Alligator mississippiensis: one gene and its partner. The main gene of each other region encodes a partner of the protein of the gene in region 2 in a complex. Links are inferred from orthologs where the notes say so. Each region holds a gene or a part of one and is shown on either strand. Other genes may lie near its edges.

What was found.
Region 1: the proteins of NMUR2 (region 2) and NMU are in contact, whole or in part, in a cryo-EM structure (PDB 7XK8), measured with the Homo sapiens proteins. The link is inferred for Alligator mississippiensis from reciprocal best matches to the Homo sapiens genes NMUR2 and NMU. Residues at the interface, in NP_064552.3 of Homo sapiens: Ser42, His43, Gly98, Glu102, Glu105, Met106, Trp107, Arg108, Asn109, Tyr110, Pro111, Thr123, Phe126, Glu127, Asn181, His185, Pro199, Ser201, Thr203, Cys204, Val206, Tyr213, Phe284, Arg288, Phe291, Glu295, Trp297, Ser298, Glu299, Ala302; in NP_006672.1 of Homo sapiens: Glu146, Phe152, Ala153, Ser154, Gln155, Gly158, Tyr159, Phe160, Leu161, Phe162, Arg163, Pro164, Arg165, Asn166.

What each region holds. Positions count from the first base shown.
Region 1 is NC_081825.1:60,616,645-60,627,166, forward strand, and holds the start of NMU (neuromedin-U), read right to left. Parts: upstream 4,074-10,522; 5' UTR 3,991-4,073; coding exon 3,861-3,990; intron 1-3,860.
Region 2 is NC_081832.1:76,086,230-76,097,312, forward strand, and holds the start of NMUR2 (neuromedin-U receptor 2), read right to left. Parts: upstream 4,852-11,083; 5' UTR 4,672-4,851; coding exon 3,952-4,671; intron 1-3,951. UniProt on the Homo sapiens protein: Receptor for the neuromedin-U and neuromedin-S neuropeptides.

The DNA of each region.
Region 1 (10,522 bases), on a different chromosome or scaffold from region 2:
ACACAGTAACTCTTTCTAGCAATCAGCTACTCAGATGAAATCTATCAATACACTGATAAGTTTCATGTTTTAAATTTAGTGAAGCTCCCAAACGTAATGTTACAGAATCTCTCATTACAAGAGAATGAAACAATTGTTTTCTTCAGCTTCTGGTGAGGGTGTGATTAAGTGCAGCATTTTTCAACCCATGGGTAGCGGCCCAAAAGTGGGTTGCAAGAATATATGAAAGGCTCACAAACAAACTTTAAAAATAGATAAACAAACTTGAAAAATTGGTTCTCTTTTAAAGGAGAAAAACATGGGAAACAGTGGTTTTTCCCTTGCAGGCTGCAAGGGGCTCCTTTGGGCCCCACATGCTCCGCACACTGGAGGACTGGGGCCTGGGAGTTCTGGGCAGTGGGTCCAGAGTCAGGAGCACTGGGTTGGGACTGGTCATTGATGTTCACACATGGGTCCTGGTACAAAAATGGTGGAGAACCACTGGTCTAGTGTAGATACCAAAAATGTATTTTATTCAGTTGCTGAAGCCATCAGAAAACTTAGCATGTATACTTGGGGCAACATAAAAGATGTCATTCTTGGTACTTTACAGTTTGAGTCACAATGTTTGGTAAGAGTATCTTTGTATAAGTACCACATGTGTGTTACTTTGTTGCTGACAGAGGCAAATGTAATAACAACAATAATAATAATACTGTCAGAAAAGATTGTTAAAGTGCTGTTCATTTTTATACTGGTATATTTATATGATTCTATGTGCTCTATTTCACTAAGTGACTCTATTAAAAAACTATCATAGCATTTTATTTTGAATAGCAGGCTTGCAGAAATGTAAACCTCTCTCCAGATCATAGGTCGGCAACCCCTGGCCTGCGTGCCGAGCATGGCACGTGAGGCCATTTTCCTCAGCACGTGTTGGGGCTGGGGAGGCAGCAGCTGTTCGTAGCCTCCCGGCTGCAGCCGGCCCCAGCTCTGGATAGCTGCAGCCAGCCGGGAGCCCGCGCTGCTCCCAGAAGGGTTTGCAGCGTCCCAGCTGCCTGCTGGGAACAGCCCGGGCTCCCGGCTGGCTGCAGCTATCCAGAGCTGGGGCCGGCCGCAGCCGGGAGGCTACGAACAGCTGCTGCCTCCTTGCCCTCGGACCAACAGGCGCAGTGCTGGCACCTGCTGCCTTCCTGGAGCCCGGGACCGGGAGATAGCCGGGGCCGGGGCCGGGGCCGGGGCCGGAGCCGGAGCCAGGGCAGGGAGGCGGCAGCTGTTTGTAGCCTCCCAGTCGGAGCCGACCCCGGCTCTGGGTACCTGCTGATAGCCACAGAACTCGGGCTGCTCCCATGGAAGTCCTGCTGCAAGCATCCCGGGCTCCGTGGCTATCAGCAACTACCCAGAACCTGAGCCAGCTGCAAACATCTGCTGCCACTGCACCCCGGCCCCGGCTGCCTCCCAGCCCCAGACCTGAACCTGGGCTCCGGGGAGGCAGCACACACTGGCAATGCTCCCTGCTGTGCTGCTCTTGCCGCTTCTGCAGAGCAGCGTTGGAACCCAGTGCGGCAGGGCACAGCAGGGGGCTCAGAAAGCTGCCTGCTCCGAGCTCCCCACTGCCCTGCCACACTTCCCCTGCAGGTGGGGGCAGCAGGAAGGGGCGCAACCCTGCGCTGCTGCCCACGCTGCTCCTGTGCACACAGGAGGTGAGGGCAGCACAACAGGGAGCATTGCCGGTATGTGCTGCCTCCGCAGAGCCAGGGGCCAGGTCTGGGGCTGGGAGGCAGCTGAGGCCAGGGCCAGGGTGGAGAGGCAGCAGATGTTTGCAGCTGGCCTAGGCTCTGGGTAACTGCTGATAGCCACAGAGCCCAGGCTGGGGGGTAAGGGGCAGCAAGGGTGGGGGGCACAGGGCAGCAGGGCTGGGAGGCAAGGGCTTTGGGTGGGGGCAAGGGGCACAAGCAGAGCATCCTGCCATGTACCCCCTGTCCTCATTTTGTTTTTCTGGCTTGCTGGCACGTCGGCACCTTCCAAGGTAGGCATTGTAGGTTTTTCAGCACTCCAGCCAAAAAACGTTGCCTACCCCTGCTCTAGATCATTTTAAGAAGTTACTGGCAACCCTAGACCCGTCTGTCAACAATATGGGCCTGATCCTCCGACTCCCTGAAGATCCACAATTCTCAGCAGTTTAAATAAATGGGAATTGAGAGCATCAGACCCATGCAGAATTGTATTCCTAATCCTTTAAAAGGGCAAGTAAATATCGCTTCATTAAAAGTGGATCCCTCTGATAGGAAATAGCAGCATCAAACATTAACTTCTGGGGCACTGTGGATATTCCAGACATTCAGATTTGGTTCTAGTATCTATGGGTAACAGTGTAAATTCAAAGATTTTTTTTGGTCTTTTTAAAAGCATGCTCTTTAGTGAGGTAAAATATTTAGACCCTGCTACTTTCTGATGGCGCTTAAATATCACAGTCACAGGTAAAAGAGCAACTCCCATACAAGCAAGACAAACAAAGCAAAAACAGTCAATATGTAATGCATTATTGTATGAGGTTACTCTGCAAGGAGTTAATAACTACGCTTGCAATGATGTTGTAAAGCTCCTGATAGAATAGGAAATGCTATCTACCTATCTGTCTATAACATAAGTTCTGTTTTTACTAAAATGCCATTTATTTAGTTACAACATCATTTTACTTAAGTCTGGAGAAGAGAAGACTGAGAGGGGATTTAACAACAGCCTTCAACTACCTGAAGGGTGACTACAGAGAGGATGGAGCTTGACTGTTCTGGTGGCAGATGACAGAACAAGGAGCAATGGTCTCAAGTTGCAGCAAGAGAAGTTTAGGTTAGATATTAGGAAAAACACTCACTGGGAGGGTAGTAAAGCACTGGAACAGTCTGGGCAGAGAGGTGGTGGAATCTCGGAGTTGTTAAAACCCAGCTAGACACAGCCTTGGTTGGGATGAGATAGTTGGGGATGGTCCTGCTTGGGGGAGGAGGGGTGTTGGTCTACATCAGTGTTTCTCGATCTGTGGGTCGTGACCCAAAAGTGGGTCACAAGAATATATGAAAGGGTCAGGAAGAAACATTTAAAATGGACCAAGAAACTTTAAAAATGGATTCTCCGTTACAGGGAAAAAATGTGGGAAACCCTGGCTTTCCCCTTGGAGGCTGGCAGAGTTGCAGCCTGTGAGGGGCTGTTTGGGGCCCCCCAGGCCCCACACACTGGGGCCTGGGGATAGGAGCAGCGGGTCAGGAGTAAGGGGAGCTGGGTTGGGGCCAGCCAGTGATGTTCGTAAGTGGATCCTGGTACAAAACAGGTTGAGAACCCCCAGTCTACACGACCTCCCAAGGTGCCTTCCAACCTGCATTTTCTGTGATTCTATTACTAGCCTTTATAAAGGAAATGGAGATTCATAAGAGTTGATTACATTAATTCTCCAATTCAGTGTTGGACCCATTGCAAATAAAAGCCAGATTGCAAAACAGTTGATTTTTTTTGGACCTGGAAAAGGAAAACAACTCAAGTTTAAACGCAACAATCCCCCCCCCCCCCCCGACTGCTAGAAGAGTAATATAGAAACCAGTACTTCACTCCTCGCTTGCTGCTATACCCGGGTTTCTGCTCAAAAGAAAACAAGAAGTTCCCCCTCTCATTTCTTTGCTGCCAGCAAGAACTTCACAGACCGTCTCAGGCATCATTTCTTTCGCCAGCCAGAATGAAAAAGGCGTGAGACTGTGCCGAAGGGAAGCCAAGGCACCGGCGGGTATTAAGCGGGAGCTGCCCCCGCGCCCCGAGCGCCAGCGGAGGCGGCCGGCCCCGACCGCAGCGCTGCCCCGGCCCCGGCCCCGCTGCCCCCGGCCCTCGCCGCTCACCTCGGCAGGCGCCCGTGCAGGAGGCGAGGAGCAGCAGCAGCAGCAGCGCGGCGGCGCCCGGCACGTCCCCGGGGCTGCGCTGCGGGCCGGCGGGCGGCTGCTGCTGCGGGCAGAGGCTGGTGCGGAGCATGGTCCGGCTCGGCTGGCCCGTGCGCTCCCGGAGCTGAGAGGAGCCTGCAGCGCGGGCCGGGCGCGCTCCCTCCCAAACTTTTAAATCTCCGGGACACGTGGCGGCCTCCCCCGGACTCAGGGCCGCGTCACCCCGCTCCCCCGCCCGCCACAGCCCCGGGTCTGCGCGTGCCAGCCCTGACACAGCTGGGAGGGAGGGAGGGGTGCGTGTGTGTGTGTGACAGAGGAGCCCTAACACAACAGGCTGTGTGTGTGTGTGTGTGTGTGTGTGTACCAGCCCTGAAAAAGTGGAGGGGAGAACCAGCCCTGAAACAACTGGAGAGGTGAGAGAGAGGGAGCCCTAAAACAAGAGGGAGAGAGAGAGAGAGTGTGTGTGCATGTGCATGTGCATGTGCATGTGAAGGAGCCCTGAAACAACAGGGATTGGTTTCAGACTGACTGTAAAACGATTTCTTCTGGAGCTGTCCATCCTTGGCATCTGCGATAAAGTGTCCTTTATCCCAAGGATGTCAAAGATACAGCCCGCAGGCCAGAGCCAGCCCGCAGAGTCTCATCATCATCCAGTACCCACTGCTGCCAGTTGGTCTCAGAGTTGACCTGCTGGCAGCATGTGGGGCACACCGGATGGCCCCTGCAGCACACGCAATGCCCACTCCAGTTTATGCCCCAGAGCATGAAGCAGAACTGCACCACACACAGCACCTTCTGTGGCCAGTCCAAGATCTAGAGCACAAGGCTGGTCTGTAGGGCTGATCTGACCCATAGGTCCGATCCAGCCCATGGACCAGCCCCAGGGTATTCTTCCAACCAGTGAGGCCTGATGTGCTTGAAACCCCTGCCTTAACCCTTTCTTACAAAGACTGGGGAAAACAAGGATGTCAGAGTTAAGATCCTTAGTCCCCAGTTCAGGAATGCTTTATGGGTAGGCTTTTAACCAGAGGCCCACGAGTAATCCAACTGTGGTAAAAATACAGCATAATCTATACACCCTGCTTTTGTAATTGCTTATGCACTCCGCATGTTTTTACTCTCGCTTCCACACTTATCACTAAGACAAGTAGACTAACAATTGATTTACGAGTAGAACTAAAATTCTGCAGACGGAGCCAGGAACGGATGCAATAAATAAGAGATAAGCAAAGAGGGACAGGGAAAAATGTTGATGCAAAGAAATTTTACCCTGACCAAAGGATGACCAGAGGGGCTTAAGAACTGCCCCTGGGAGGGGATTTAAGATGTAAATGATACATGTATGTAAACCGTCATAAAACATGTAACTGCTAAGACATACGATGCAAGACGTAATGCTAAGTCTGCCAATAATTGCACGACACGTTGAAATCTATTGTTTACGTTGGCTATAAAAAAAAGCTTCAGACACAGTTTGAGGTCGACTCTGATTTGAGCGACTCAGCTCCCTGGTCGATCTGTTTGCAAACAAATAAACTCGAGTTGGACCCGGCCTGAGTGTGTATGACTCTCTCCTTGAGGTGTATTGGAAAAGCCTCCAGGGGCATGAAACTAGCCGTTTGTGCAACACAACTGACTGATCATTTGTGACAATTTTTGCTCTGAAAATTTTGAGAAGAGACCTTTTCTGAGAAAATTAACCAGTGTTGGTTAATTTCATCCCAAAAGAGGAGGATGAGGAAAATTCTAAACAATTAAAAATAGGTTGTCAAAGGGCAATAAGTGCAATTAAGGCAATTGCTTCTATTGTTACTAGAGAAGTAATGGAGGGAAAAAAGCAATAGATATCTAACAATTAAGTAGAACAACTGAAAGGTATGTAGTCTATGGATTAGAAGACCATGCATTGTGGTTAGCAAGGCTTCTGCTTGAACCTATACAGCTTTTACCTTGTATATATTTAGTATCTTCCTGTTATTAGAATCTCAGTACAACTAGTTGTTCATGTTAGCATAAAAAAACTGTAAAGTAAATGCCTCAAAGTTTACCTCCATACACTTACTATGGTTTATTAGAATCTCACTTAATGGAATCCACCACATTGGCATCAACATCTGAAACTATATTCTATAAATACGTGCTTTTTTGCACCAGCTATTAGAATCAAATTGCATGTATGCATGTTTCCTGCATGGCTAAAGCTACTGTGCTGGTGACCTGAGCATGTCTGATTGTGCAGGGCTTTTGGTTGTAGCTGTGTTGGTCTAAGGACAGAGGCAGACAAGGTTCTTTGGGTAGATGTGATATCTTGTATTAGACAAACTTGAGCATCATGGCATCCATACAAGCTTTGCACTTCGCTACCATTTATTAGAATTGCCTGATATTAATAAATGTGAGACTTAAATGAAAACACATATTCTTTTCCTGGGTATGTAGGCTATCAGAACTCCGACTAAAACATTATTTGCATCAGGAAAGCTCCACATATGTATGCTTTATAGTGCATATGCATACATATTGAGGGGTTGGTGTATAATAGTAATGTTGATACATAAAAAGCATATATTTGCAGTTTGAAAAAAAAAATTAGTTTCCAAGGGCCAAACTCTATTGCCATCAGTGAAGAGAACTCACATCTTCTGCTTTTCAGTGCTGCAGCCTATATGCTGAAAGTAGCAACAGCAATGTCACTATTTGCACCAACTGCACTTAGCCTGTTTGGTGCATGGCTTCAATTGGGTTGCCAAACAAGTTAGATTTGAGTTTCCATCTGTCTACTCCATCGTGTCAAGAGTTAAAAAAAAGTGTTCACAAAGGTACCACTGACAGTACAGAACTACAAAGAAGTTCTGTCTGACAAGCTCCTATCACCAGAGCCCATGCCAGCAAGACAGCCTCCATCACAGTAACACAAATGACTTTTGACAGCTCTACAGTCAAGAGGGATCTTGAAATGGTTCATGCACACTTTTCTGCTCTACCACAGGTGATCAAGAAACTTGAGATATGGGGGCTTCTCAATATGATTTAACTTGACAAAATCAAAGGGGTTGAAAAAATTAAGTCTGTTGTGCATGATATAAGCCAATGAATGAGAAACAAGCTGCAAAGACTTTTGAAGAGGAACTATGGATATGAAGCACTGGTAGTGGTGAAGAGTTACTTGGATGGTACTGATCTGGAACTACCAGAAATAGTACCAGCAATGCTGACTCCTGCTTTCAAATTTTGCCCTGTTACATCTGTGGACTTTGAAGGATCTTTCTCAAGGTACAAATTCATTCTGATTGAGAAGTTCCACAAATTAATACTGGAAAACTTGGAAAAAATAGGATTTTGAAAAGAGGGCATGCGTAGGGTGACCATACATCCCAGATTGCTCAGGACAGTCCCGGATTTCAGAGGTCATCTCAGCATTCTGGCTATTGGAGAAAATTGAAGCAAAAGTCCCAGATTGGCACAAACCTAGCCTCATCTGGAACCAACTTCTAAGGGAAGTGGCGCTTGCTCCTTCCCTGGGGGTCTTCAAAAGGAGGCTAGATAGACACCTTGCTGGGGTCGTTTGATCCCAGCATTCTTTCCTGCCCATGGCAGGGGGTCAGACTTGATGATCTGCTCAGGTCCCTTCTGACCCTACCTACTATGAAACTATATGCCAACTCCTGACTGAGGAGCCATGCATGTGCAGGTGGGCTCATGCCAATCAAGAATTTTTGCTTCAGTTTTGTTTCAGCCAATGAGCTGCTCCCTGGTCCAAACTCCTCTGAGCTGCAAGTGGAGTCTCTTGCACAGTGGAGTCAGGGTGAAGGGAGGGGTGCATGCAGGGAGGTGTGGGGTCATGTGTGTGTGTCTATGTGTGTGTGTGTGTGTGTGCACGGGTGCACGCATGCTGCGCTATCCTGCCTGGCCCTACTTCTGGGAGCTGGGAGGTCATGTGTATATGTGCATAAACACACACGCACATTGTCTTGCTCACTTCTGGGAGCTGCAGAGTGGGTGGGTGGGTGGGTGAGTGTGCTCTGTGCTGTCCTGCCCAGCCCTGCTCCTGAGAGCCACAGGATCAGGGTGGGAGAGGGAGTGGGGAGGGGAAGTTGCACATATTCTGGTGTCCCCCATCCCAAATTTCCTTCAAATTATTATGGTCACCCTAGGCATGTGGGATCAGTGACCAACCCTGCAGAAGTATCTGTTCTTCCCTGCTCCCAACCACATCCCCTACACTGAGTCAAGCAGACTACATTGTGGGAGCAACAGCCAGGGACTTTTTCCAAGTCCCCAAATCAGATAAAAATCCTTCTCCTCACCATTCCCACCCCCCTGCTCTCGGCACACCTTCCCTTTCCCTTTTTTCTCAGTGGCACCTTCTTTCCCATCCCATATTCCTCTTGTCCTCTCTACTTACGCCTCTGGAGGCACAAAGGAGAGGCACACCCACTGCTGCCGCTGTCCCAGCCACTCCTGCTCCACTTCAGCTGAAAGCCTTTTCCCAGGCAGGTGGGGAACACCTGGGGTGGGGTGGGAGGTGCAGCACAGGAGAGGGAAACTTCCCACTGCTGCCACTCTCCCTGGCTGAGCCCAACTGCCTGCACAGTCACTCCCTACAGCCCTAGTTGAAGTGGGACAGAAGCAGCTCAGGGAGGGGCCACTGAGCATGAGGGAGAAAGAGACAGGGTGCTGTGAGAGTGGGGTTTCTATTTGCTTGAGGGACCTGTGATGTAGTCCAGACTCCTCTGGGGACCCAGGTGCCCAGAGCCACTGGGCTACACTGTGGAAAAGGAGGTAGAACCATGCCAGTGCACCTGCTCTGAATCTGCTCCTAGTAAACGCAGTTACCTGGGGAAAGTTGTAAGATCCCCACTTTGTCTATTTTGGAGCAGGGACTTCAGCCATGGAGCAGTTTGTTTTGTTTTGGTTTTTTAAAAATAATTAAGTGTTCATTAAGCAGGAGAGAACACATGTGGGCACACATGAGTGGAGTAGATTCAGTCCCTACTGGAATTATTTAATTATATATGCAACCCGGGTGGTACTCCAAGCGGTACCCCCTCTACAATTGAAGAGCTCAAAGCAGGTGCACAAGCGCTGTGGGAGGTGTGGGGATCCTCCTCCCCCTATAGAGCAGAGCCAGACCACCAATGGGGACTTAACCATATACCTTTTAATGAGGGAACAATGCTGGGAACATAACCAGTATAAACCAGAGGGGTATAGGGAACACTACAATGCCCCGAAGGGGCAGGATTCAACAAAGGTTATACACTTACAATCATAGAAATATTCATCCAGTTGACAAAAGACAGGGTTAACCAAAATGTAAAACACAAACAGCAGAACAAACAATACTGGTAGGTGAAATATAAAAGGCACAAAATACAAACTGTCAAATGACAAGGAATATAGGGCCTAGGTACCTGGAGGGGGAGAAAGGGGGAAAACCCTTTTCCACTGCAACAAAGATTTCTCTCTGCTACTGCACTCACCCCATCTGGGACTTGAACTCAAATCTTTCACATGGTAGGCAAAAACTCTATCACACAAACAACAGTGCTTGAGCTGCTCCAAACTGTTAGGGGGACTTGACCATCCTGGAGCCCCGGCCTCACATTGAGCTGCCTTGCCTCTTATTGGAGGAGCTGGAAGCAGAGCTGGGAACCTTTCAGGTCACTGCTCAGATCGTTGCTGGAGCTAGAGAGCCTCTCCTGCTGGCCACAGTCTTTTGTAGGGGATCCTGGAGCCCAGTGGGGAGCCTCTCCTGCTGGCCACACGCTGTGCTGCTGAGGGTCCAACTGCTGCCTGCAGGTCCCACTCCTTCAGGTTGTTCTGGGGCAACTGCTCCTGCCCTGCTAGCCCAGCTCTTTGCCAACTCTTTGAAACTCCTTCCTTGTGGTCCCTCACTGACCTCTCCTGAGTCAGCTGCGCTGCCCTTTTTATCCCCCTCCTGGTGACCCAAGGGGCCAATCAGGGGACATGGAGCATGAGTCTCTGGGGCCTGATTGGTGAGGAAAGGGAATCCCAGGTCCTCCAATCATCTTTTACCCTTTCAAAACCCCTGGGCCAAATCATTACCAGATTGGTGAGAAAGAGGAAATCCCAAGTCCTCCAATCATCTTTTGCCCTTTCAAAACCCCTGGGCTAAATCACTGCCAGCCAGCCCGTCACATATAAACAACATGAAACGGCTCTGTCAGGAGAGACTAACCAACCCTCATCCCAGAATAACCAATAGTCTAGTGGTAAGGGCCCTCTCTCGGGATATGGGAGCACAAAGCAAAACCACCTACTTATCTATTAGGTATAATAAAGGTCTTTCTATGTTTTTTTAGTTATGAAGAACAGCTGATGATCATAGATATCTAGCTCCAAGAAGAGGTTGATGGCTGAGAATCACTGACAGATAGGCACTTACAAACCTGTACCATGGGTGGTGCAAGGCACAAGGCCACATGAGGCAGAGTCATGCTGACTGTCAGAGTGGGAACAGTGTAGTTGTGTTTGCATGAGGCTGCTCAAGAGCTAATTAGCAGAGCTAGACTGGGTATCTCTGAATGGCACTACCCAGGGTTGAATAGACACACCAAGTCTAGTGGGAGGGACAATTAAATCTCGGGGCTGTCTGTGGG
Region 2 (11,083 bases):
TACCCATGCTAACCCAAAGAAAGCATCTAACAAAAGCAATCGAACCATGTTAGACTTCGCATAGCTCACATTAGCAGCAAGCACCATCTGAGGAAGAATGCAGGAGTCTTTCCTGTTTCTGTATTTATAAGAAGCCCATCAATGGCACAGAAGCATAGAAAATTCGGGTTGGAAGGGACCTCAGGAGGTCACACCTAGTCCAAGCCCCTGCTCCAAGCAGGACCAGCCCCAACTACATCATCCCAGACGAGGCTTTGTCCAGCCAGGTCTTCAAAACCTCCAAGGATGGAGATTGTACCACCTCTCTGAGTAACCAGTCCCAGTGTTTTACTACCCTCCTAGTGAGAAAATTCTTCCTAAAATCTAACCTCAGCTTCCCTTGCTGCACCTTGAGCCCATTGCTCCTTGCTCTGCCATCTACCACCACTGAGAACAGCCCAGCTCCGTCGTCTTTGCAACCACCCTGCAGGGAGGTGAAGGCTGCTATTCAATCCCCCTCAGTCTTCTCTTCTGCAGACTCAATCAGCCCCATTCCCTCAGCCTCTCCTCACCAGTCCTGTCCCCCAGACCCACAACCATTTTCATTGCTCTCCGCTGGATTTTCCAACTTGTCTACATCCATTCTGTAGTGGGGGCCCAAAACGGAACACAGGACTCCAGATGTGGCCTCCCCAGTGCTGAACAGAGGGAAGAATCACTGCCCTCGATCTGCTGGCACCGCTCCTACCGATGCAGCCCAGGATGCCGGTAGCCTTCTTGCCAATAAGGGCACACATTCTGGCTCCTATCCATCTTCTTGTCCCCCATCACCGCCAGGCTCTTTTCTGCAGAGCTTCTGCCCAGCCGGTCACCCCCAGCCTGCACCGGTGCATGGGATTGCTCCGTCCGAAGTGCAGGACTTTGCACTTGTCCTTGTTGAACCTCATGAGATTTCATTTGGCCCAATCCTCCAATTTGTCTAGGTCCCTCTGAATCCTAGCCCTACCCTTCAGCGTATCTGCTACTCCCCACAGCTCGGTGTCATCTGCACGCTTGCTGAGGGTGCACTCTGCCATCTTCCAGGTCTTACCTATAAATGTCTATGGGAGAAGAATTGGTGTAGTGTGTGCTAATAGCTATTGGGTAGATGTCTATCACAGTCCTCACAAGGGCAACTGGCAGCATCAGCCGGCAGGTTGAGGACTGAATGCAAAATAGAAATGTTCTCCCTTTAAGGAGAGTTTCTCCAGGTCATTTTCCATCCCTTTATTGTTCCAGGAACATGTTAAGAAAGGCAGGATGTCCTCATGTGTACTCTGGACGGTTCTTGAGGGCTGGTAAAGACATACAAAGCCATCTCTATCTGTTTGTTCAGTTTGAATCCAACACAATTGACCGTAGCTGAAAATTATTGTCACCTGATGTCCTGTGAAACGTGTGGTGGTCCCCATAGTTCCCCAGGAATCGCTCCATAATACAACACATCTGAATTACTATTCCTGTTTCCACTTTACCAGGGAGGCCAGTCACTGAATGGCTGTGAGATGTCGAGCTCACGCCCTTCTTTGCTTCTTCCAGAAAACCTGCACTGTCTTGGCCAACAAAAAGCAGAGAGCTTCCACCTCCACACCTTGAAGTCACCTACATCTCATTGGATTTCAGCTCCTCATCAGTAAAGTGAGGGTCATAAAACTCAGGATGGTATTTTTCAGCATAAGCTCACTGATCCAAAGGCTTTCCTTCCTGATTCTAGGTGGGGATTCTTTTATTCAATCTCCAAACTTCTGGGATGGGAAATCTCTTCACTGCCCATCACCCACTGGATGCTGTAGTGATGGTGGCCATATAGGTACTTCAAAGACTGTTCCTGTATCTCTGAGCCTTACAGGCATGAAAGCACACAGACATCCTTGTGCAGTCATTACGGGATCTTTTTTATGAGCTGTTAGTTTGAGGGCATCCATAAGGAGGTGAGTAACACCTGGCCAGAACAGCCCCTACCTGATTCCTCTCCTCTCCTCCGCAATAATGGCTCGAGTTCTCTGTAGCACATGCCTTAGCAAGACTGAAGATGCAAACCCAGGTGGTTTAGGGGCATTCTTGATGTCAGTCTAGTCTACTGAACTGGAATTGCACGATCCAGGAGACAAATCCCATTGACTCTGAACACAAGCTGGACTCTGCAGTCTTAAGTGCAGTCTTGCTGCCCTGTCAGAGATTGAACGGCTCCTAATTGCTTCTCCCTGCGGTGCAATGCCAGAGGGTGCTGCTGGGCATTTAGGTTCTGTCGGGGCTGAAACGAGGAAGTGCAATTACCAATCCCTCTTTCCCCAAAGCCCAGGCTTGGACTATTGGGATGGAAAGAAAACGTCCCTGGCTCCAGATTTCAACTGCAGGGTCAACGCTGAAGTTTTGCAATTCAGGTTTAAACAGCGCGAGATGCCCAGACGAGCCCAGGACTGCTCATTGCTGCTTTGATATAAATTGCCTGCGATTGAAAATGAGCTAACTGCTGTTTGTTCATCACTTCCATTTAAAAATTAAACAGCCTTACCCCTTTACTTGTGCTGAAGCCAATGGCATTGCAGCTGGGAGTGCATTATGAGAATAAAGCAGAGTAAGCAGGCATAAATGAAAGGTCATCCAAGCCTTTACGATGATGAGACTGGGCAGGATCGATGTCGGGTCTCATTCAGAAATCTGAGAGTGGGAGCTGTGACTTGGCACCGACGTAGCATCTCTTCTGCAGGGAGAACTCGGAAAACCTGGGCAACGGTGACCAGCTACAACCGCCTACCTGAAGCAAAGGCTTTTCATACCCAGCTCTAGGTTTTTTCAGTTCATAATTGAACAGTGAAGATAAAAGTGATGCTTTCCTTCATTCCCTTTAGGTTAAGCCGTGCATAATTTGCTGTTTGAATCTATATCTAAGTCCATAAATTGCTGCTTATGGGAACCTGATCCATTCAGAAAGATCTCTTGTTTGCCGTAGTTTTTCAGTTATTCACCTACAATCATAGGTACTCCTAGGCACCTCTTCTCCTGTGTGAAGTGGCACTAAATAGCAGATAACACATTAACGAGGCAATACAGATGTGACAGCTGATTGTAGCACTTGATTTGCTTCTCTGACCAGGTATCCCTGCAGCTCCCTGCCCTTTCTTTGCAAGGGAGCAAACCTCGCTTCTGCAAAGTTGCATTCTGAGCAGCGTAGCTTAGTACCGACGTTTTAAAAACCATACCCAGAAAAAAAAAACCCAAAACCAATCCAGCCCCACAATATTTTAGCAGAGTAGTTCACAACAGTGCTATAAAAAAGCTGGTTACATACAGTATAACCTAGGTTGTTTTTCTCCTGTATCTCTATTTCAGTTCCCATTGCCAGCAGTCCTGGTTTCTAAAGGCTGCGCGGAAGGCAAATGGCTCTATAGCACGTCTCACTACTTTTAAAAGACTCATTCATTATTTTGTGCTTGCAGCAGTAAGACAGCTTATTTCAGAAGTGAGTTTTAACAAAAGCGTATGATCGAGTAGTGTTCATATCACTTGCCCGCCTGCCCGCCCGCCCAAGAAAGCAGGAGCAGGAGAATGCAATGAAAATGCTAAAGTCACAAGACAAAGAAAGGCAAGCTTTTCAATCTTCCTACTTTTTACTCTTTTTACACCCCCTTTTGAGCCAAGAACCTGAAAAACCTACAAAAAATAAATGTAGCACCTCAACAGGGACGCAGAAGTAAGAACTAAAATGATACACATAGATTAGGCCGTATTTACCCCCAGCTGGTGGTGTAGCAGGGGGTGAATCTGGTCCTTTGCTCCCAAGGGAGGTTGTTTTCAATGGGTTCCCTTCTCAATTGATGGAAGGACAGCAGCTGTTGCCTCAAAAGGGTTAAATCACCTTTTTAAAGGCAGCTGAGCTAGAAAGAAAGTTACAGAGAGAAGCAAGGAAGGCATCATTCAGTTAGGACTTACTTTCAGCCCCATCAGATAGTAGAGGACACTAATGATAGCCACAGGCAGCACATAGAAGAGGAAGGAAGTGACCTGGATGATACAGTTGTAGATCCACATAGGCATGACCACGGTGCAGGTGGCAGAGCCGGGGACCAGCGTCCCGTTGGGGAAGCGCTGGAGCAAGATGCCGTGAGTGCTGGTGTTGGGGAGAGAGAAGAGGACGGAGAGGACCCAGAGGACAATGATGATCCTCAGCGCACGCTTCCTGGTGCTCTCCAGCTTGGCCCGGAAAGGATGGAGGATGGCGACATATCTCTCCATGCTGACCGTGGTGACACTCAGGATGGAGGCAAAGCAGACCGTCTCAAAGAGCGCCGTCTTGAAGTAGCAGCCGACGGGCCCGAAGAGGAAGGGGTAATTGCTCCACATCTCGTACACCTCCAGCGGCATCCCGAAAACCAGCACCAGCAGGTCCGAAATGGCGAGGCTGAAGAGGTAGTAGTTGGTGGGGGTTTTCATGTTCCTGTGCTTTATGATCACCAGGCACACTAACAGGTTTCCCACCACCCCCACCACAAAAATCAAGGCATATATTAAACTCATGGGCACGAAGAGGTGACTCCGTTTGGGGCCACATAAAAAGGCGAGATAGTCCTCAGTGCTGTTTAAATGCCATCTGAGCGGTTCCTCCTTCCCAGCGAGGTGATCGAGCCATGAGACGTTGGTGATCCAGTCCATGGCTGGTTCTGTTGGGATGAATAATGCAGATCCAGTCTTCTTCCAGGCTGCTTCAAGTTTTCCCTGTGCCACTTTTCCCACGTTTAGAAGTAGGGAGCGAGGGAGAAGGAGGGATGTCCGGTCAGACCTGAAAGCACACAGATACTGAGAGACACAGGGTGTATGCACGTCTGGCTTCAGTTGTGGTTTCGCCGTTGTAAGAGCTGTTCCCTTGTGAGGAGTCGGCTAGAAAGCCCCTCCTTTCACACATATTCATTGGCTAGCTAAGTGCATCAGAGTCTAGGGTGAGAAAGGAGATCCTGGCTATTCAGACCAGCTCTCGCAGCAGATGCATTTACTGAACCAGCAACATGGGGTGCATCCAGCTGGGAATCTGAAATCTTGGATACGAGTCCGGCTCCAAGACTTGTCAGATAACTGAGCAATGCAGCCTGGGTCCCAAAGCTTTTACAAAATGAGCCTGAAGCTGCATCCAGCTAAAAGCCACAAAGAAAATGCCTGGTTTTCAGGTGCAGATGTCTGAGTCCCCGTTGATTTTTAGTAATCAGCTTTAGATGGCAAAAAGCCATCTGCAAACAGATTGACTCTCTCCCCATAGAGATCTGCTTTTGTAGTTCAACTTGTCAGATTAGTCCAGGGTACTTTTGCATGCTGGCATTTTTTTTTTTTAAACTGTGAAGTTATTTTGTTGAATATGGGGCAAAAAGGGTTTTATTTCTACTCATTATTGGTATCGGAAGTTTGTGTTTTTGTCACTGGCTTCTTGTTTCCTCAGAGGCAAGAGACAGTCAGCTAATGGTGGATTTGAGCCCAAATCTGAATCCTGACTCTGCTTCACTGGAATCTCTTTGGCCTGAGAATCTGGTTGGATAAAAACCAACCCATTTCTTTCTCAGGAGAGATCCAAATTTGCTGTCTCTTGGATGGGTCCAATCCATTCTCTATTTCTTCTGATCACGTGTTTCACTGTGTCTCGACCTCTCTTCAACAGCCAAGCACCTTCAGGGACATTTCCGCATCCGGCAGAATACACTTCCCTAACGTAATGGCCGAGTCCCAATAGAGCAGGCAGCTCTTTATCAAGGTATAATTCAGCGCTGAATTGAACAATACAGAAATTGCTTCAAATAGGTTTCCTTTTTTTTTTACAACCCCCCCCCACCTCCCTAGCACATATAATTTTGCAATGCAGAAAGTTGAACTCTTTAAAACGAGGTTGTAGGGAAACTAAAAAACCCTTTGTTTTTGCATAAAAAGGGCTCAGATCTTTAGTAGTAGAAAAGGACTATTTGGTGGTTTCTACACTTTAAAAACGTGGAAAGCCCCCCATTGTAGTATGACGTACCAAGCAGAATACGGGTTAAAATAACCCATGGAAAGAGAAGCCAGGGCAAAACTTTCTGCATTTAGTAGAGAGACAAGGTTCTTTGGGTGAATATGAAATCTTTTATTAGACCAACTTAAATAGTTGGAAAAAAAAATGTTTTTAGCAAGCTTTCGGGTTTCAACATGGCTACAACCTGCACCCCTGCATTTAGTAAGCCGTTTTCTCAGACTGGGGGTGCTTGCATCAGAGCCCCATCACATCACATCTCTTATGGATCCTCTGAGTATCAAAAGGGGGTTTTCTACCAATCTCCGCAGCAAAGGATGAGCTGGGCAGGTAGACGTGGGGAGCTCCTCTTCTTCCCACCCTTGTGCGCCAATAGGCTAGCAGGCAGCACGGCAGGTGGCACGAAGCTGGCTAAATGGCTTTTCTAGCATGAAAGGATGCCAGATAAATCCTCAGCAGTCCCTCCAGACTGGTTAAAGACCCCTTAGAGCTGCTCTGGCAGTCCCAAGATACCTTATGCAGATTGAAGATTAAACATCTTTTTCCACCCTGGGAACTGCTGAGCTGACCAGACCTTGGAGCAATCTCCCCGTCTCCTGTCCCTGGCTGGCAGCAGATTTTTCCATGGCAGATGCAAAAAAACCCCCCAAAACACAAACCCTTGGAAGCAGCAAAGAACAAAAATCAAGGATTTGCAAAGACAGCTGTGCCCCAACCCCAGTTTGTCGGCAGGTGGAAAACAACGCTTTTTTTATCCCTCCAGTATTTTTTGATTCTCTTTATGTAGCTTGCTGTGTCTTTCTCACCAGGGGATATCTGCGTGATAACACTCCCTGTTGGGATAGACTCCAGGTTGCCCCCGCTAACATCAAAGAAACCAAGGGCTGAGCCCACCTGGAGGCCGGCGTCCCCTCCCATCTGCCCTGCTGAAGCCTCCCAGTCCGAGGCAAGTTCGTCCCAGGGGCAGGTTGTTAATAGCTAGCTGTATAGAAATGAACTGGAGATCTCCATTGAAATAAAAGTCAGAAGAATTGCTCTTAATGATAACTGCTGCACACCCTTCACTTATGTCAAATATGTTCCTCCTCCATTTACAATGACCTCCCGGCTTCTCTGAAGTCTGTTCATTCAGCAGAATGAAATGTTTTGTTGGATTCTGCCTTTTGGCGCACAGGAAGGGCGTCCTTTTGACCCATTTCTTCCTTCCTCGGGTATTCAGCTCAAAAAGGTCTCACTGCATTTCAAACATCAGCATCTACTTTGAAGGCATTATAATTGATCCTTGGCTCCTTACGGGTAGGAACAAAGGAGCCGTCATACAGGATGAAACTCATAGACCATTTATTCCAGTGGCATGTCTCTAACAACGAGCAGCATCAGACGTTCAGCAAAACCTTGCTACAGTGCTGCAGATAATCAAACGCTTCTTTGTCCTTTGCCTGACTTTCAGACCTTAATCTTTCCCTGGCATTTCTTCCATCTCTCTCCTGCCTTTTATCATCAACAGGTCCCAGCAGTTCCACTCTGATATTTTAGGTATGGGGTGATAACAGCATGGGCGGAGCAGCGCTAACAGGTGCATAGACTCGCTGGGAAACTTGGGAAGCATCTGCATTGACCCACACCTGCGATTAGTGGTTGATGCTTTGAAAATATCTGCAGAAGAGCCTTCTGCTGTTATTATTGCACAGAATCATGAATTCCTTTAAAGAAAATGAAAAAGAAACAACAGGTTTCACTTGGCTCGAACTCAACTTTAAAGGAAAGAAAATTGAATTTGATTGAGCCATTCACAAAAAGAAACCAACTGGGGACCAATCTGGTAATTTTATATATATGTATGTATATATATGAGTGTGTGTGTGTGTATAATATAGCGAGGAATATATATAATATAATATAATATAGTGTGTATATGTGTGTGTGTGTGTGTGTGTGTGTGTATATATATATATATATATATATATATTATAGCAAGGAAAACTACTGTACTATGAGAATAACAGGCAAAGTTACATGAGGGTGCATTCATGCCCACGGCTCCCAGTCCTACCTGTCCGTGCTCATGTTTTCTGGGTCTACTGTCCTTCCTTCCTGTGTTTATTCTCTTCAATCCATACTGTGCTCAGATTATGGTGAGTACTGGGTCAACTTTACCTTAAAAGAGTGGTATCACAGGGCCAAAACACAACAAGAGCTATTCCTGAAATAATAACTAATAAAAAAGCCATTGTTTCCCCTCACTGGTCAGTCATTCATCTGCAAAACTTTGTCTTGCTTTGATTAAGCAACTCAGCTCCTGCCCTTGAGACCAGGTGCTGAGGATGAGAGAGACAGAAATGCAATTAAATTGGTTTCTCAAAGTTTTCCACTGAGTCCTGTCTACAGTTAAACTTGCAACAAGCACTGGGGTCCTGTGTCCATTTGTGGCCCCCCACTGTGGACAAATTGGAGATGGTCCAGTGGAGGGCAATGAAAATGGTGAGCGGGTTGGGGGACATGACTTGTGCGGAGAGGCTGAGGGAAGTGGGCTGATTGAGTCTGCAGAAGAGAAGACCGAGGTGGGATTTGATAGCTGCCTTCACCTCCCTGCAGGGGGTTTGCAAGGAGGATGGAGCTGGACTGGTCTCAGTGGGGGCAGATGGCAGGACAAGGATCAATGGGCTCAAGCTGCAGCAAGGGAAGTTGAGGTTGGATATTAGGGAAACCTCTCACACTAGGAGGGTGGTGAAACACTGGGACAGGTTACCCGGAGAGGTGGTGGGATCTCCATCCTTGGAGGTGTTTAAGCCCTGGCTTGACAAAGCCTTGGCTGGGATGATGTAGTTGGGGCTGGTCCTGCTTTGAAGTCCTTCCCAATCCTCATGTCCTATGATTGTATGTTTTCAGGTCTGGTTATCACATACAACAACCAAAGGCTAATCAAGAGAGACAAGGTTCCTTGGGTGAATTTGATATCTTTTATTGGACCAACCCAAATAGTTGGAGAATAGTTATTAAGCAAGCTTTCGGGTTCAAAAACCCTTCGCCAGGCTAAGGAAGTTTCAGCAGTTGGCATCAAGGCACTTTCCAAATACCTTTTCACACAAAATGGAAACAAACCCCATTTTTCCTTTCTTCAACTTTGTTTAATCCGTGCAGCATGTTTCACGGGGGGGGGGCACACACCAAGATCTCACTTTTTGTTTCCAAGTGGATGCCTGTTATTAGATACTTGTGACAAGAGTTCATGTTGAAAGCTGGCAATTCGGAGCATACATTTCAGCGAAGCAAACTGAACGACAGATCGAACCAGCAGCAGGAAACCCAGCTGAGACGCACCGGACACGTAGGTCTTGCTTCCATCATAAGTGCTGTCCTCTCTACGGACGATGAGCTTGTGGGAAGGTGCCAGCCCCTTCATTACCAGGAGCTAACAGTGGTTCTTTGTTCCCTGACCTAGCACAGCCATCCAAGGTGTAGCGAAGTGTAAAATCGTTAGATATTTAATACATGATAGTTAGATATTTAATACAGGTGTTTTTAGAGTACCCATCAGTGAGAGTAAAAGTTTGAGCAACTTCCAGTTGTAGGGAAATGTGGATAAAATCAGGTTGAGTCATAAAGCCGCACGGCTAGCCAGTGTCTATCAATCAATAAGCAAATGAAGTTATTCTGATTGATATGAGCTCTGAGTCTGGCCTGTGGAGGCTAGACAGGACAGCTGTGATGATCTAATCTTGCATAACTCAGGTCACAGGGTTTCATCCCGTGATGAAATCAAGCCTAATTAACTTGAACATATCTTTTAGAAAAGCATCCAGTCTTGAATGAGAAGCTCCAAGAGAGGTGGGATCTGTCACAACCCTTGGCAAGCCGTTCTAACGCTCATTTATTCTTGCTGGTCCGAAAGTGTGTTTAATTTCCAATGGGAATTATTTCAACTTCCAGTTCTAGCCCCGGGTCACTGTGTATCTTTGTCTGTTAAACAGCCCGGTGCCTTCAGCGATCTCCTCTCCGTGGGAGTGCAGGAGAGGAGGTTCAAACCAGAGATTGGCAAGTGCTGGACCCTCAGACTTTGGGTGTGCTAACTCATTTCTGCAAATGAGAAAATTACTGAGAAACAGAGAAAACTTATGGCTTACAGTCCCCGAGTTCAGCTACATCAGGTTGATTAAGGATCTTTGGCTCCTTCCCTAGGTTTTTTGTGAGTTTTTTTATCCCATTGCAAGGGCGCAGGTCTAGCTTTCTCTGCATTCATTACAAACCTTTGACATGCCACGACGCATTTGGATTTATTGCGTCTAAATGACGCGGCCTGCCGGTGGAATCAGCTCCTACACGAGGCAGATCTGGACTAACTTTTGAGCATTTCAGTGCAAGTTATTTTTCAGTTATTCACGCTTTTCTTTGCTAGTTCGCATGGCTGTGTGCAATGTCTGATATCCCCGGGATGCGAATCAACATGCAAAAGAGGTGCATTTCGGAAGGACTGCATAAAATACCAAGGAAGACTCGCAGTCTTCTAGAAGCAGCGTGCGATCATTTTGATATCGCGCTGCTGGGTTCATTTTGACCCAGTGGAGATGAAGGTGGAGCAAAGGGGAAGGCATCAATTCACTTTTATTCCTAGATCTCCCCACCATTTTTTTGACAGGCCCGCACCAAAATGATGTGTAGATCAGATCCCCCATTGCCGATCCAACGGGCCTGAGAATATCTCAGGCAGCGTGTACAACACTTCAAACTGCTACCGCGTGGGTCTTTCTGCAACGCGGGGGAACCCTCCCCTTCGCTGGAGTTACTTTTAAATGGTTTCTCCAAAGAATAAAAAAAAATCAAACTTCCAAATATACTTTGCCGTCCCGAGTGCATTAGGCTGCTTTCTTCAACCTCGCCACTCTCCAAAGAGCCAAGCCAAAGTGAAGCAAAATGTGTTGCACACCCACTTTGTTGTAAAAGCACTAAAGAGTCTCAGGCTAGGAGTTATAGCTAATTTAATCCACTCGAGTACTTAACAACATAAGACTGTATTGGATTTGAATGCTCTTCACCTTGGTGAAGTAACAATTATCTTCTTTCCTCACTATTAGATCTGCA